Lepisosteus oculatus: one gene and its partner. The protein of the gene in region 1 purifies or fractionates together with the protein of each later gene. This does not show direct contact. Links are inferred from orthologs where the notes say so. Each region holds a gene or a part of one and is shown on either strand. Other genes may lie near its edges. The genes, in order: sarcoplasmic/endoplasmic reticulum calcium ATPase 2 and pln1.

What was found.
Region 2: the proteins of sarcoplasmic/endoplasmic reticulum calcium ATPase 2 (region 1) and pln1 purify together in Homo sapiens (affinity purification with western blotting; 4 studies listed by BioGRID). This does not show direct contact. The link is inferred for Lepisosteus oculatus from reciprocal best matches to the Homo sapiens genes ATP2A2 and PLN.

The regions. Positions count from the first base shown.
Region 1 is NC_090717.1:10,109,807-10,118,099, forward strand, and holds the start of sarcoplasmic/endoplasmic reticulum calcium ATPase 2, read left to right. Parts: upstream 1-3,669; 5' UTR 3,670-4,375; coding exon 4,376-4,493; intron 4,494-5,391; coding exon 5,392-5,409; intron 5,410-5,519; coding exon 5,520-5,602; intron 5,603-8,293.
Region 2 is NC_090697.1:649,130-657,422, forward strand, and holds the start of pln1 (cardiac phospholamban), read left to right. Parts: upstream 1-2,774; 5' UTR 2,775-2,945; intron 2,946-3,133; exon of another isoform or gene 3,134-3,258; intron 3,259-8,293. UniProt on the Homo sapiens protein: Reversibly inhibits the activity of ATP2A2/SERCA2 in cardiac sarcoplasmic reticulum by decreasing the apparent affinity of the ATPase for Ca(2+).

The DNA of each region.
Region 1 (8,293 bases):
GTCTTGAGCAAAGCTTATCATTAAGGTAGCTGCTGCTTTCTGTTACATATCACCGTCACTTACCTTTTAATCCTGTAGTGCAAGAGGTTACCGGTAATTACATCATCTCTACTTTCCTTCTGCTGTCTCTGGTATATACCCCTGCAAAGCTTTATTCCTGCTCCAGTGGGATTAAACCATCACCTGGCGGCTGCGTGAACTCTGTCACCCTCATCTCCTCATCTGAGGGATTATTTATTAATGTCATCATTCATGGATTTGATCGCCTCTAACGCAGTGAGAGGTAACAGAGCCCGGGGTGACATTATTTCCTCCATAATTTGCCAAACTAGTGGTTTGTGGCACATCTTGCTATCTTGCATGGTTAATGACCTTATTTGAATTTTAATTGTGATTTTTCCCCGCAGTATATAAGTCCTCTCCTTCTTTCCTAGAATTGTGCTCCTTCTTTCCCCATGTGCTCCTGTGTTCTAACTTAAGATCCATTATTTTACTGGGAATAGCATAAGTAGTAAATGAGAAATTCTTACAGTTCTGAGATGAAAAGAAATGTTACAAAATGGGACAAGAGCGTATTACACTTTTGGCCTTGTTTTCGGACAGCGGATTCATTTCATAAACAGTTGTTCAGCTGTCACATGGCCCCACAGACGCAGAGAAGACAACCAGGTTAGAGGTGTTTTCTAATTATGGAATGCTTTAGGAATGTCTTGTTTCACCAATTTTGCAAGTGACTCATTAAACACATAAAAGGACTTCAGATTGATGCTGCTCTGTGACAAGCAATGCACTCTACAAACTGCTGATCTCAGTGTTTCATGAACAATTGCAGCATTAATTCGTCATCTATCACTAGTTCTGTAATTACTATCATTATTTTGTTATGTCCATTTCATGTTCACCAAGACAGGGGTACTGTACTGCATATCACTGAATGGAAACACAAACATGTACAACACTATTTATGGTAACATGCGAGATAATTAACATTTTTATTACAACGATGCAGTGTGAAATGCAGTTGTTCTCTAATTACAATCATTTGGAACACAGTCTGTGGTATTAAATAAAATTAGCCTTCATTGCTAATATCAGCTTAGTGGGGTTTTAATTGGAGTGACCCAGAGTAAATCTTCATGCAGTAAAGAGCAGTTGTGACTACATGCTGCCATGATTCTGTGTGCAGGCACTTAAAAAAAAAACCTTGCTTTCCTAAAGCACCTGCTTGGGCCTTGTCTGTCAGCCGTACTGTCATCACTAACCATGAGGTGAAAAGAAAGAACTGGGTGCTCCTGTGGGCAGCTGGGGTTTCCAGACAAATGACTTCATTAGGAGAGAGACCCTCGGGTCTCTCCTGCATGATCTAACGTCAGCCTTGTACATTGCAGCCTTCAGGGGCTCAATAATCCCAGGAGGTCCTCGTTTCATTGGAGGTAAAGGGACAGAACAGCACAATAATGTTTTATAGATCAGCCGCGGATCCATAGAGCTTTTTATGGAGAGAAAAAAAGGAGAAAGCTTTTCACACGATTTCAATCCAGACAGTCTACACTCTCCTCCACCCAGTTCATGAGTCTGTGAAAGTAACTAGTGAACCGAGCAGGAAACAAGTCCAGGTGATGAGCGTGAGCTAAGTGGAACATTCAATAAAAATAGAGCTGTGCTGAGCTGCTTCCATTTTCTAAAGCCTGCCTTTTTACATTTTTCTGCTCACTGGAAGGTTTGCCGATACCGTTCTCTGCATTCATCTGCTATTTAGCTGCACGTTCTTGGGATGCAAAAATTGTAAAAAAAAACAATTAGTAACGACCTTTTCCCTATACAGCATTCTTTATTGTGTCTCAGATGGGTCAGTTAGGACGGGACCTGCAGAGGTGTCTGTGCATTTTGGAGAGGGGGGACAGGGTTTAAGTGTACTTTCATGAGTGCAAGAGACATTTTCAAGCACTTAGAATGGAGATCTTGAAACAGCTGGTTTATCACACTTTAAAACACGTGGTGGCTCTAGTGTAGCCAGTGAAGATGTGGTAGCTGGTAACCAGCAGAGTTTGATACCGCAGTGTGCAGAAGTTGTTCAAATCGTGTGCGAAAATATACTTTGACTACTAAATCTTGCTTCTTTCAGTGATCAAGTAAAGTATGTCTAGTTGGAAACACAATAAACTTATTGAAACTGTAAAGAGTTGAGCCTCTCAGGCAGAGCTCCAGGGGGAAAAAGTGCAGGAAGACTCTCTGTCATACCCCAGGTTTCCATGGTGGGGGAGCCTTTCAAGTCTTGAGTGAGAGGCTGTGGGTTCGAGTCCCCGCTGCAGACACTGCTGTTGTAGCTTAATGAAGAACTCTACCCCCAGTTACTCCAGTCCTTCCAATTGTAGAAGTGGGGACCAGCTGGTGGGGTAACTCCCTGTCCATCCATCTGTGGCAAGGAGTGATCATCTGCTCTATTGCCTGTTCAACACTCCTGAAACTAAGAAGAGCTCTTTTATATTACAATTGCACTCCAACATCACAGGAAAAAATAACTGCTGGTCATGGGATTAATTTAGTTGCTGTAGAACAGGAAGCTGGTATAAACCTGGTGGTTTTGTGTCAGTGGGAGTGGGGGTCTAGCAGGTGAATGAGCTCTCTTTAGCATCGGGTACACTATTTCTCTCCCATTTCCCCGATCCAACAGGGTGGCACTGATCCCTGTCCAACTGAACTCCAGCGTGCAGGTGTGAAAGTCACCCACGTGAATAGGGTGTATTTGAATGGGTCTGGGGACTGCAGCGACATGAGCTGACACTGATGTAATACGATAAAAGCGTTTACTTTAGCGCGCTGTTCCAGCACATTGCATTACATTGTTCCTGCACGCCAGCAAAGGGGCAATACACGTCAGGACCGACCGCATATGACCATTTCCAGAAAAACGAGGCAAGAAGTGTAAATACCTCCTAATTACATTTCGCGAATCACAGCGCTGTCGCGTACTTTTGACCCCGGGTTTATAACTACTTGGGTATCTGGAAAACAGCTTCTCGGTAAAACCTCGCAGCCTGAGCTGTAACATAAGCAAAGAGAAGGCTGACACCCGGCGCATAACTCTAGCTGGCTGTAATAGCATGACAGCATGACATTTGCGTTCGCTAATCCCAGCAAATGACCCCCCCCCCCCACCACACACACACACACCATTCTAGGTTTGAAGGATGATAGGAGCGAAAGTCTTTAATCACCTCCAAGGCCAAAAACGGAGGCTATTCAGAGAAAAATGGCAAACAAATTAAACTCCCCTGCCAAAGCATCTGAACTCGAGCTCCGTCGTTTCCCAAAACATATTTTTTTGGGGTCAGCGGCAGCACCTTGGAATTAAAACTGGAATCGACCCCCCCCCCCAGTTCAAATACATGCACATTGTGGCGTTGCCTGTAGATCTGCGAGTGGAGACATCTTATTGTGCCCCAGGGGAAGGCAGCGTGTGTGTGGAGGAGGAGGGGGTGGGAGAGTGCACGACTTCACAAAACCAGACAAATCGCCAAAGGGTCCCCCCCCCCCTTCCCCTGCGCCGAAAAGGTTAACGCAAACGCGTCTGCGTCACCGCTCCCGGATCCGAGGGGCGGCGTGAGCCGGGCGCAGCGTGGAGATCAGCTGATCGCAGCGAGTTTCAGAAAAGAAAAAAGACGGGCCGGAGAGCGACGAGAAGAGCGCACACACACACAGCCCCACCAGATTTCCGGACTCCCTCCATCCAATGAGCGCACTCCACATGCGGAGCAGGCGAGAGGGGCAGCAGCGAGTGAGGCACTTTCAATAAAACGCGAGTGGCGCTGGACGGGCTGAGCCACTGACGAGAGAGCGGCTGTGACACGGGCAGACGCGCACCCACGGCAGCCTGAGGAGTGCACTGGCCATTGCAGCGTGTGGCACGGAGGGCGACTGTTGCAGCCGGCTCCTCTGGGAATAAAGGAGACACCTTAAGCAAAGTGGCCTGGGGAGGGGATCGGTTGTTTTTTTTTTCTCTTTTTTAAATTTTAAGCGTGACTTAAGTCGGCAAAACACGCGCATCAAAAAAAACATTTTGGACGAGAAGCTGGCGGAGGGGGGAGTCACACACACACGCATCGTTTTTCTTCGTTCTCCATAAGTGCCGGGATTTCTACATAAATTCTAGATATTATTATTTTTTTTTCTCACCCCACCGGACGTTTTCTGTATGTAAACGCCTAGTTTTAGAGTATTTTACGCCTTTTTGTTTTGTTTTTTTTTTCTTCTCCTTCCTTCGCGAAAGGGACGTGCGGCGAAATTGACACGGACTGAAAGGTGGCCGAGTCCACAAAGTGAGAGAGAGAGAGAGAAAGAAAAAAAGTGTCTTCACAAGGGGAGCATTTCCACCATGGAGAACGCGCACACAAAGACTGTGGAGGAGGTCTATAGCTATTTTAACGTCAATGAGAGCACAGGGCTGAGTTTGGATCAGGTGAAAAAGAATAAAGAAAAATGGGGACCGAACGGTAAGTGATGCCGTTTCATTTCCAGAAGTCTTTTATGTATACAAATATGTGTTGGTTTTTTTTTTTGTGTGTGTGTGTGTGGGGGGGGGGGTTAGTGGTTTATTTTTACGCAACGCAAGGCCCGTCTTATGCAGCCAGGTTATAGTACAGTAACCGGCATGCTCAAAAATGGATAGTGAAAATGGCTGACGTCATCATGTACAACCTCGTGGGTTTTTCAATCCGTTCGCCTTATCGCGGGGGAAAGAGGGAAGCTCGCCGTTAACCTTGAATGCGTGCGATAACCGACCCGGTGGGTGAGAATCGGAAGATTTCGGAGGGGAGGGGGCTGTTCTGCGGCTGTTCCCCGGTTCCAGCGGGCTGGGGGGTTGGGGGAAAAGCCGGCTCAGGGCCTCGGACTCGGCTTCCCAGCTCACGTTTCTCCCTGTCTCGTCTCAAGCCCGGTGACCTAGCGAAAGCGCAGGTGAGGTGGGGGTTGGATGCGAACAGCTCCGGCCGCCTCTCGGCTTCATCTCACCGGCGGCGCCGGGCTGGCTTGCGGGCCGCCCGTACTCACTTCGCCCCTGCGCATGACTCGGCTGAACCAGCCCTGTGCATTGCAACACCGCCGATTCCCCGTGTCCTCGGCGTGGACACCCACTTCCTCGTAGCGACGCGGAGCACGGCTCGGCACACGCCTGCCACTGCGCCCGAAGACGCTGCGGGGAGCGGGGGGTCCTCATGCACGGCCGCCCTGGGTCGTGTTTCAAATGTCAACAAAGCGCACATCTTATTAGCGTTGCTGTGTAAACGGAGATTTTGATCTTTTGTTGCCTGTGTAACTCTCTCCTCTTCCTCTCCCCCCCCCCTCCTCCCCCGGTCGCTTTCTGGTTTGTTCCTTGGAAACACGCAACCCCAGAACTGCCAGCCGAGGAAGGTAAGCAGCACCGCCGTTTTATTAATATTTTAAAACCCCCCATTTTTTTTTTTGGAGGGGCTCATTCCGTTTTATTCCACTCTGAATTTGTCTGTTTATTCTGTCCGCAGGAAAATCTTTATGGGAACTCGTTGTCGAGCAGTTCGAAGATTTATTAGTCAGAATTCTTCTACTGGCAGCTTGTATATCCTTTGTAAGTATGCGCCTCGAAGCCTTCACCCAGTATCAGTCCCTTACAATTAAAAAAAATGAGGCACAGATCACCAAACTGTCCTGGGTATTTTCCCGATGCAACCTCCCGGCATGCTGTTGAAACTTACTTTGGCTGCCTTGCAGGTGTTTGACCTGAGCAGGCAGCTCTAAATGTTTCACTGTAAATGAATTGGGCCCAGAACTGGTGGACATCTTACTTTTTATGTTGAAGCAAATGCTGGCGTGCATAATTTGCATGTATCTGAGTGCAGTTTTACTTTGATGCTCTTTGCACCTTTTCCTCCTTGTGTAGGAACTCTAGAATGAGTCGAGGAGAGTGTAGTCCTTGTCTAGCTATCACTTATTAACTGCGCATGCTTCTTCCTGACAGATATTTGGGTATTCAGTTTAACCTCAGTACCTGGTTCTCGTCGTTTGCCTAAGGTCAAAAGGTCAAGTTCAGGATGGGCTCAGGTATGAGTTGTGTAGTTTTGAGGAGTAGTCCAGGATAGGAGGCCAGTCCTTTGCAGGAATCCCCCCCCCCAGCAATGCTGGTCCCTACTTCTACAGCTGGGAGGACTGGAGCAACTGGGGTCAGATACCTCACTCAAGTTGCACCAGCAGTGACTCGAACCCGCAGCGTGTCAGTAAAGAAGAAACACACCCACTCTGCTACACTGCCCTAATCTACTAGTAATTTATTTATCACAGCCTTTTGCATGAGTCTGGAAGGATACTTACTGTGGCGATGAGGGATTTTGTCCTTTGTTGAGATTTATTCTTATTTGGAAACTTCTGTGGCAGTATAGATTTATTGCTTAAACATCAGCCGTTCCTTATGCAGTCAGAAATGCCCAAATATAGGCCTTAAAACTTTTAAGCCTAAATCTTCGCAAGTTACGTTGTCCCTGAGTGAACTTTAAAACCTTTTTCCAGTGGTATGCCTACTGTAACACTGTAAACGTAATGTCACTCTAGAGAACCTGGTGCCATTAATGTGTTAGACCAGTTTCCAGTCAAGGTATTAAGATCCTAACCTAGTTTTTTAAACCGCCCACGTCTGTGGCTGTTAATATTCAAAGTACTTGGCTGAGGTGTGAATAGGCCAGGTTAGGTATAAGCAAGGGAGTGTAGCCATCATGTTGGATGTTCAGAGATTTGATCTTCAGGTATGACAGCTGAGCTAGTAGTGTTAAATAAGTCCTCTGTGTTAAAAAAAACTTACCAGGAAATACTTTCTTGGCTTAATGGACTTGACAAATCTCCTGATGATGCTTGTATTGTAATACAAGTGGTCACTTCAAAATGTGAGGTTAATGTAGGTTTGCTTAGTTGGCCGAAAAATGAAAATTGCGCCCTTGTTTATTGGCGTGGGGCGGAGTCAGTGGTTTATATTCAGGGATGGGCCGTCGTCGGCTGGTTTCTCTGTTTTGCGTCAATACTATTCCCACCTGCCGCCTTCATTCGTTTGTCAGTTTACTGAGGATACGTGTCATTTTAATTGTGAACGAATATAGTGACTGAACTTCACAGAGCATGGGTCCTGGGCCTGGGCAGTGCTGGGGTGGGACCCCTGAGCGGCAGGTGTTGAGTGGACCAGGTGGTGGTGCTCTTCCATCTGGACCACAGCCTTCAAACTGGCGCACCAGGATGGTGACTGGGGACACTGATGGAGGGGTGTGATGCTCTGGCATGAAAGCCTCTTTGCAGATGTAAGGAGTTAGAAGTGAGTCATCCCATCACAAGGCCAGGAGCCCGAACACTAATTTGGTTTCCCTGTGCAAGGAGGCTGTCAGAGTGGGCTTGTCGAACGAACTGGCGTCTAGCAGCAAATGTTTGCCTTTGCTACACTTGTACTGTCGGGTGTTGGCAAACGGCATTGATAAATCAGGAAGGCTAAAAATAATGGCCATACCAAGGAAGCCGGTGTTTCAGTGCCGGCGGCGAGGAGATGAGCAGAGCCTTCCGAGAACATGGGCGCGGGCGTGTGTGCCCTGTTTGAGGCTGCTCTTGCAGATCCGACGGTTGACACCGCTGGGAAGAAGCCACGCTTCCGGGGAATGGCGACGACAGCGGGGAACGAGGATCAGGTTACCGGGGGCTGACATGAAGTGCAGGGGGCTGGCTGTACTGCCTATTGGCTCGCGTTCATCTGCTGTGCTCTCAGTGCACTTGTGACGAGATCTCGCATTTTGTTGTAATTGCCTGGGGGTGGGGCCAGTTTCACCCAGGCCATGCTGTAATTCCCCCTGAACTGATGACAAGTCTAATGCAGGATGGGCTCACCGGAATGGGGTTTTAGTTGGCACATGCTGAGCCAGACATAGAAGCAACAATGTACTTGGCTTATTACATTATGTCTAACTGCACGTTTTTGTACGGATCTCGAATGTAAAAGGTGATACCTGTATAAGCAGAACCTGCGGTATTGTCTTGTATTAATGGTTAGGTGTTTGTTGTGTAATATTAGACTATCCAAGTGTTTCAGGTTCAGTCAGCCTAATTATTGGATCCAAGGATTAATAATTGGAAGAATAGCATGAAGATGTGAAAAACTACGTCAGTGGTGGTCTGTAAGACTGAAATGAAGGCATGCCTGAGTAACCTTGTTCTGTCCTTCGCTCTACTGGAAGAAAATAACTAATTACATCCTAGAAGCAAAATAGGCTCTGGCAGAGAGAGACGTGCATCG
Region 2 (8,293 bases), on another chromosome or scaffold:
AGCCTCAGATCCTGGCTGAAAACTGAAGTTGGTAAAAGCAGTTGTATGGAAAGAAATGAATTCTGAGTGATTACATCCTAAAGGTAAAGACATGGGTAGCACCCCTCGTTCAGCTGTGAAAACAATTTTTTCTTTTATTTAATACTGAAATTACCCATCAGTTAGCCTGAAATTAGGTCTAACCAGTTTTAATAACGGCTTGCAGTTACAGCAGAGCAGTGTGAATCACAGAACATTACAATAAACAAAGCTATGTAAACCAAGCTCCAGACCTATTGTAATTACAATCCACTAAATCCAGAGATGTTACAATATATTAAATACAATTTTAATTACATACAGTATCTTTAATGTTTTACCGCTATTCAAACAACTGCTTGCATCTCCCTTGCTTAAGCCTACTGCCCATCTTAAAAACCTTTGGAACAGCTGTTTTTAACCCACTTTATTAATTAGCTGTGACAGGTGTATACTGCATATGCGTGTTTATTTGGTATTAGTTTTATTATTGTTTCCCTGGGAATAAACAGAACGTATGGCTTAACGAACACCTAACACCATGTTGCAAAATATCATTTCATCCAGCTGGCGGGTTCTCTCTCTCGTCCTGAGCTGAGTCAGCTGAGCGAGGGAGACTGAGGACTCTAAAGAGCATCCAGTGATGATTTAAAAGCTATACAATACAAGATCGCCTTAGCCGTGCACCTTCATTACAGTAATAGCAGTGGTAAAACAACTCATTATTCACCATTTGTCACTTAAACGTCTAAAATAACACCAGGGCAAAGTCAGAACATCATTAACATGTCTGAATGGCACAATAAGAAACACTCTTAAGGCTTTTTTTTTTAACGGTAAGTAAGGTACAGTAAAAACAAGTCAAACCTCCTTCTAGTATAAGTACTTGTTTAGCATTAACTGTAAGTCTTTTTTTTTGCAAAGCAAAAGGTCCTTTTCACACTTTAATTGAAAACAAATACAAACATCATGCTTAGAAAACATAAAAATAAGGGGCAATAAGGGTTTTGTAGAATGAATGAGTATTGTTCAGTGGAGGTGCTTCAGGAGTTAGAGCAGCTCACTTGTCAAGACTCGTAATGTACCAGCTCTCAGTCGAAGGGGGGACTGTAAGACAACGCTCTAGGACTTAATGTGTGCAACTCGGATTACGCATTGCATTAAATTGTCACCTTCTCATTCATTGTAGCTCGAACATTATGCAACTGGTCTTCCATTATAAAGACGGCAAAAAGAATTCCTCTCATGTGTGTTAGCATAGCTGGGACAATGCGAAAGACCACTGCCTGCCAACAACAGCAGTGCTCTAGCCAGAGAAAACAGAGTAGTTTATCCTCCTGTTATGTACCCATGTTTGAGTTCTGCCCTTCTACTCCAAGTGCGTCGAGCAAGTCATTCTAAAAATGTGATTTTGGAACTTGTTTTGACTTAAGAGAGGCCAGCTAAACTCCATCTAAGGAAGTGTAAGCTGGAATAGCAAACTCCTTTTGCTTAAGAGCTTTGTGACTGAAAATCTCTAGAGGTTTGTTGGCACCATGTTTGCATATGTACACTGATTTACAAGAAAGGGGAAACACAGAGAGGGAGGCCTTTTACTTTACCAACCCACTGGAATACTGAAGTCGACACAAGCAGGTCAACACCAATCTCCTATGTGCTCTAGTCTAACATTTAGAATAACAAAGACTCAGGGCCGATAGTGACACGTCAGAGCTAGTTGTTTACAAAGATTGACAACTAATACAGAGGCTTCAGAAATATTAAAACATGTTTTCAAAAGTGAAGAATGGCTATAATACTGTACATCCATAGTCAAATACAAAGATATGAGATATTCTATGATTTATGCAAAATACTTTTTAGGATGATATTTTTACATTCTATGTAACTAGATTTTTGGCAGGCAGGACTCCCTGACGTTAGACAGTTCATATCAGTAACATCACTGTGTATCAGAAAGAACTGCTGCCGAACACAAACATTAGTGACAAGTTATAGTTGTCTTAGTGCTAACCCTTTAAAAGTTTTTATAATCCTAAAAATATTTTGAAAATGCTTTATCAGCAGCATATAACTGAAACGTATTGCTTTAAACACAGACAGATATGCTTAATTAATTTAGCTCTTGGTTACATCCCCAAGAAATTGATTTAAGGCAAAAACCTAAATTCCGTGAAAGGGAGATTATACATCTCCAGGACAGGCTGTTGAACCCCTTTTGCTTACGTTTCCAAAAACTCACGAACTCAAGCACAGATTAATATTATAAATGTTAGAAAAAACAGATCAAGTTGTTAGCTTCTGAAAAAACTTTTCTGGAGAAGATAATTTTATTTTGGAACTCAGGCATTTAAATGATTGACTTTATTGTAAATAATAACAAGTGAAATCAAGATACTGCATTGAATGTACTTAAGTTATACTTTTTCAAAACAGGTGGACAGAAGCCCTGAGGTGCTTTTCTCACAGAAAGCAGTAGAACAACTTATTTGATCTCATGGCAACATCTGAACTTCTTTGTCAGAGCTAACCCTAGCAGTAGTAGCAATCATACCAAATGAAATGCAAATGGTTGAGTACGCACTGATCCTGTTCCAAAGGAAAATAGCACCAGACTCTTAAAATGAGGTATGTATGGCAACAGCAAACAGGTCGTGAGAGAAAGAGTCCCTCTGTGATCACCTGGAGCCAGAGCTGGCTGCCAGCTCTGACAGACTGTGTCCAATCCGTGTTGCCAGGGGGCTGGATAAACAGCAAAACCCCTCCTTTACTCGGGGCGCTGCTCTCCCCCGCCTCCTGGTTCTGTTCCCATAAACTCTGTGACATAGTCAGACAAGCAGCCAGAGAACCTCTGGGTCTGTTGGACCAGGGCGCTTTCCCACAGTCCGCTGAGCTGTGTGTCCGCGATCGGTCGGCCAGAGCAGGAGGTAAGACAAGCCATCCTCCTCACACCACACGTACTGCCTGCCAGGGCTTGTGGCCCCACAGTCCCTCCGGCTGAGAGACGGAAATGCAGGACAGAGCAGGGAATACCTCTGGAGACACAAGAGGCTTACACTGAAAAATCAAGGTCTTAATAACTGAAGTCATATAACCTCTCCTTATTCATTTGTAGAACCACACACACTGGACGTTGGGCCAGCAACCACTTACTGGAACAATTAGAGGTCAGTGGTGATGGATAACCGATGCTGGTGAAGCTCACTGTTACATTTTATATTCATCAAGACTCTCTAGATTGTGAGTGATCTCCTTCGATAAAATTACCTAGTTGTTCAGAACAAAACATTTCTGTAAAAGATCATGGATTTTGCTAAAAATGTTAAACGTATTGTTAGGAGATCTACAGGTAGACAAATGGCTGCAATTACACTAATCAGATTTCCATTTACCATCACATACCTTTCATATGATGTAACAAAGCAAATGCTTTTAAATGGATTTGTCCAAAAATAGCAATTCCCCTGTCAACGAGATATATTTTAATACATTATATGGACTTTGTATTTAATGAGCTGGAAAACCTTTTTTATTATTCAAACTAGAGCTTTGTGAATCACAGTTCATCCAAGATAGGCTTTCCAAATCTTTGTCTCTTCAAGGAATTAACAAAAACCGATGCTCCTTAATTATCACCGAAAAACGTGGAGTCAAACCAGTCTGAATATGAACTGCAGCTACAAATATTTATATTAAGAGTAAGCATGGCATTTAAACTGAAGGCTATGAAACTGTAAAGGGGATCATGAAATGTTTAAGGCTAACCATGAGAATATACAAAAGGAACAACCTTTAGAGAACTGGGTTTTAATTTTCTATCCGAAAACTATACGAACAGAATGTTTATTCTTGCGTGCTTTAACTTTACAACATTAATGCATTATAGTTTATATAACAAACCATACGTGTTTCACATTTTATTTACAAAATATATTTATTTTATTTTTTATTACTTTCATGATATAAAAGAACAGACTTACTGACCCATTTAAAATAGACATTCATTCATTCAGACAACATTGTAACGACAGCTAATTTCAATAAAGTCTGTAACAAAACAGAACTCCTAAAAAGAATAGCGATAAAAAATAGTGCCGATAATATGTTGCAAATAAGAAGTTGTGAAAAATTTCTGAGGCTGTTGCCTCCCATATGTAACTGCAGCCTCATGCATTAAATAAAGATCCACAGAGAAAACTATTTTGCAGAAAGCAAATCTGAAAACCCACACCATTGTACTAGTCCTGTTACAGTTCAATATGAAAGTATCTGTATTTGCATCAAAGACACAGTGGTCTCTCTTGAATTTGCATTTATGCAGATGTCTGTATTTCAGACAAAAGATCCCTTCAAGCAAGCAAAGGTTAAAGATGCACTGCTGTGAAAGCTACAGTATGTTCCTCTGCAATTGTCCTTTATACACAGCAGTACATTTGGAAAATTATGTTACCCAGAAAACTGCGCTGGCCCTTTTATGTATGAAACTAAAGACTGGAATGATGCGACATGCAATAGGGAACAGATAACATCTAAAGAAACTCTATTTTGAACAAAAACTTGATTAACAAAGGTTTCAAAGCGAATGCCAATAAAAAAGCCATGTCACTATTGCTGGCATTGCCAGGTCTTTTTATTTCTTTTGGCTTCACCGTCATCAGGAGTCCTGCAGCGTGATCTCCTTTGAGAGGGGGAGATAATTCCCTAGCAGGTCACACTCTAAAGATAAAGGACAGTCAGTTCAGTGCATGAAGCAGAGTGACCCTAGAGATTACTTACTAATGCAATCATGGAAACAACAGCTCACAACTGCGGCCAGCCGTACGTTACTGTCTGCCTTAAGATGACTTATTTTCATGGGATATCAGCCAAAAAAGGTCTTTCTTCATTTTGTTTATGAATTTACATTCGGTTTTAGAAGATTTCCTTCTTAGGTTATGCTGGAAATGTTGGTTGTTGGTTCTGTGTCTAGTCTTTGATGAACCTAAAAGTAAAGTGCTACTATTTCAAGGGAACCAATCCTTGAAAACATATTCAGCATTATTTAAGGATTATTACAAACACCTGATCATCACAGGTACTTGTTGCTAATCCTGTAAAAATATTTTACATGAAAAAATTCAGAATTTCTAACTTTTTAAAATTGTAGAAAATATTATAGCCAGTAACGCCTGGCACTGAGAATATTATGTAAGCCTAAACAGCATTCTGTCAGTGAATTTTTGTTTAACCTGCACTTAGTGCTTTGAGTTGACAAGTTTAACATGAATTTTATACTGTTATATTAGCAGTTATAAATTGGCTTTTAAGGACTGTACACGTTCTTAATTTAAAATTCACATGTATATGAGGCATTTTGTCATTTTAAACTAGTTATTAAGAGACAAATATGGTTCTGTAGTAAGGCACATTATCAAAAAGATTAGATTTATTTAACTTACTGAGAGTGGTGGTCACAAACCGCTTAAATTACAACTGTATGAGAAGCCTTCCTGCTGACTGATTGGAAATTCTCGGTCTTGCTTGTCGATGCCTTCCCTGCTTTTCAAAGTCAGACCGAGTTCTGAAGCCCAAGTTGCTCAAAGCTCTTAACAACGTCAAGGATATAATGTCCACAACAACACTGTTTTGATACTGTCGGCACAACCTTACAAACAAGCCGCCTCATGAGTTATCTAACTTACAGCATTCAGGTTATGGTTGTTCAGTCTGAATCCATCACTACAAATGTTTATCGGGTTTGTCAAGTGATTGGTTCAAATAGAAACTAACATTTATTTACTATGCATGTGGGGCAGCTGGTTGTCATAATATATAGAAAATGAGACTGATAACTGCACATATTTCTTAAATTAATTAATTAATACAATGGTAGAGCACTATTTTCCCTTTAGACTCCGGTATACAGTACTGTTGTATCATCTATCCAGTAGTTCGTTAGATCAGCAGTGCATGAGACTATATTCTTTATCTTTGTTTCAATATATGATTATGCTGATTTGTTTGGACTGCAGATCTCAAGCAAAAATATTTCTGTAAGGGAAAATTAAAGTCTCTGTATTTGCCCATTTATAAAGTAAATATTACCAAGTTGCTGCCCAAAAACAAATGTACACCAAGATCTCACATAAGCCTACAATGATCTTTTTCAGAAAGGCAGATTAATATGGAAAAATATCCCTTCTGCGATTCTGAAATTATATATGAATTTGGAAAACAGACTTATCCTTCAATAAATATTTTTACTGCAAACTATAGAAATGATCCCTGAAAGTAATGTGTCACTTCATGAAATCAGTCTGTTTCAAACTGAAATGTTCACAACATACTATTTTTACACTGCAAAACCTTTTTTGTACTTTTGTCTGTACTTTAAAACATTTTCTACGGGTCCTTTTTGTAATAAATAACTTTCAGTAGAATTAGAAATCTACTAAAAATCTAAAAGCTATTCTTTGAGACTTTTAACTACAAACCTACCTGTTACACCCTCATTACGTTGAGTATTTTTATTAAAGTACCGTGTCACTTTTGGGGTTAGAAAGAAATGGCATTTATGAGTGCATTTCAAACCACAATAAGATGCACACAGTAACAAGTAGACCCATCACAAAACACCGCGATTCAGAATGAGGCAACCAAATTTCCACTGAGGTGAACCAGCCCTATTATATTGTAAACAAGCAGGCCTGTGAATACATCTCTTTTAATACAAAAGAAATATTGCTCTTGACATAGAGATGGTTTTGTCAACAAATACTACTCACTTGTTAACTGTGCATGTAGATCACATTGGAACATTTCTTCATTCCTTGTGTGCTGCACAACCTGTACTTATTTGCTTTTACATCACAGTACATTAGTCCTTACAGTGACTAGTGAGCAGAAAGGGCCACTTCACTTCGCAATTTGCGCAAACTCGCCCAGGGGTTTGAGACAATATACAGTACTGTCACAAAGATCACTGTTTTCTGCTTAACTGGGAATTTGTTCAATTTTGCGATGCTGTAAATTAATTTATTTTGTTACCAAGATTTAATTACCGGTCTGAGAAATTTGGACTGCAGTTCCCCTTAAAATAATAATGAATAAAATGATAAAACATTAAATGTTAATACAGTTGCCCTATTTCAGCAACTGTTTCCAAATTTAATAACCACAGAAAATAGGCCAAAGCACTCTTCAATAACTATTGCAACAGAAGCACACTGCATCAGTCACCAGTGTTTCAAGAGCGGCTTGAATAAATCTGTGAAATCTTAAGGCAGAGAAATGCTGTGTGTCCAGATGTACAAACATGCATAGCTTGATTACGTTTTACAGACCGCAGAGACCGTTTTACAGACCGCAGACCCAAGCAAGTTGTTGGGAAACTTCAATATTTTAAAAAGTAACGTTTGAAGTGAAGCTAAGCAAGGCACATTTTGTATTCCAGTCAACAATGAGAACACGGCGATCTTGTTACTAGAAACTAAGGATTAACACAGCCATGGAATCCCAGCACCCTGTCTATCGGCAAGGTTTACTGTGAGGACTGCAATGTGGAGAATGACAACAATAAACTCTGTATCTGCTCTGGCTGTTACATAGCTGCTTTCTGGACTCACAGACCCCTTGTTTGTCTCTGACAATGGGTGTGTGTTTCAACGTATATGCCCTTCCTGTCTGTTTAGTAATTAGCTGTACTCATAAACATGTTCTAGACTAAATTTCTGCAGGTTGATTACAGTCAGCACCTCTTTGGTGAATTGATTCTTCTCTGACATGACCTGCCCAGCTGTATCCCCATCCCCTAAGGACTATCGGTATTTAGCATGATGGAACCAGGTTGGCTGCAGTAAAATGGGATGTCAGACTGTGATATGCAAAGGTCATAACTAAGAATAACATCAACTGCATAGCAGGACCAAGCAAGATATCTTGCGTCCACAACTCATCACTGCTCTGGACAGTGTCGTGTCAGTCACGCAGACAGCTTCAAAGTCATTCAAAGGCAGTAAGTGCACAGCTTGTTCAGCTTTGTGTACATAATCTAATTTCTATAGCCAATGATGCCAGAACAGTGCCACAGAGAGTGAGGAACAAAATGTAGAGACGCAGATTCAAACTTTCTTAGTGCGAGAGTGTCAGCGGGACATCCACCCTCACGTCACGAAACCCTGATGCTCTGTTCTGTCGTCTCCCCTTATATCACACAGCTGACAACTTTATTAGTGTCTCATCTCATACCATTATTCCTGTAGTTCACTTGGCACAAAACCAGGACAGGCACTGCTAT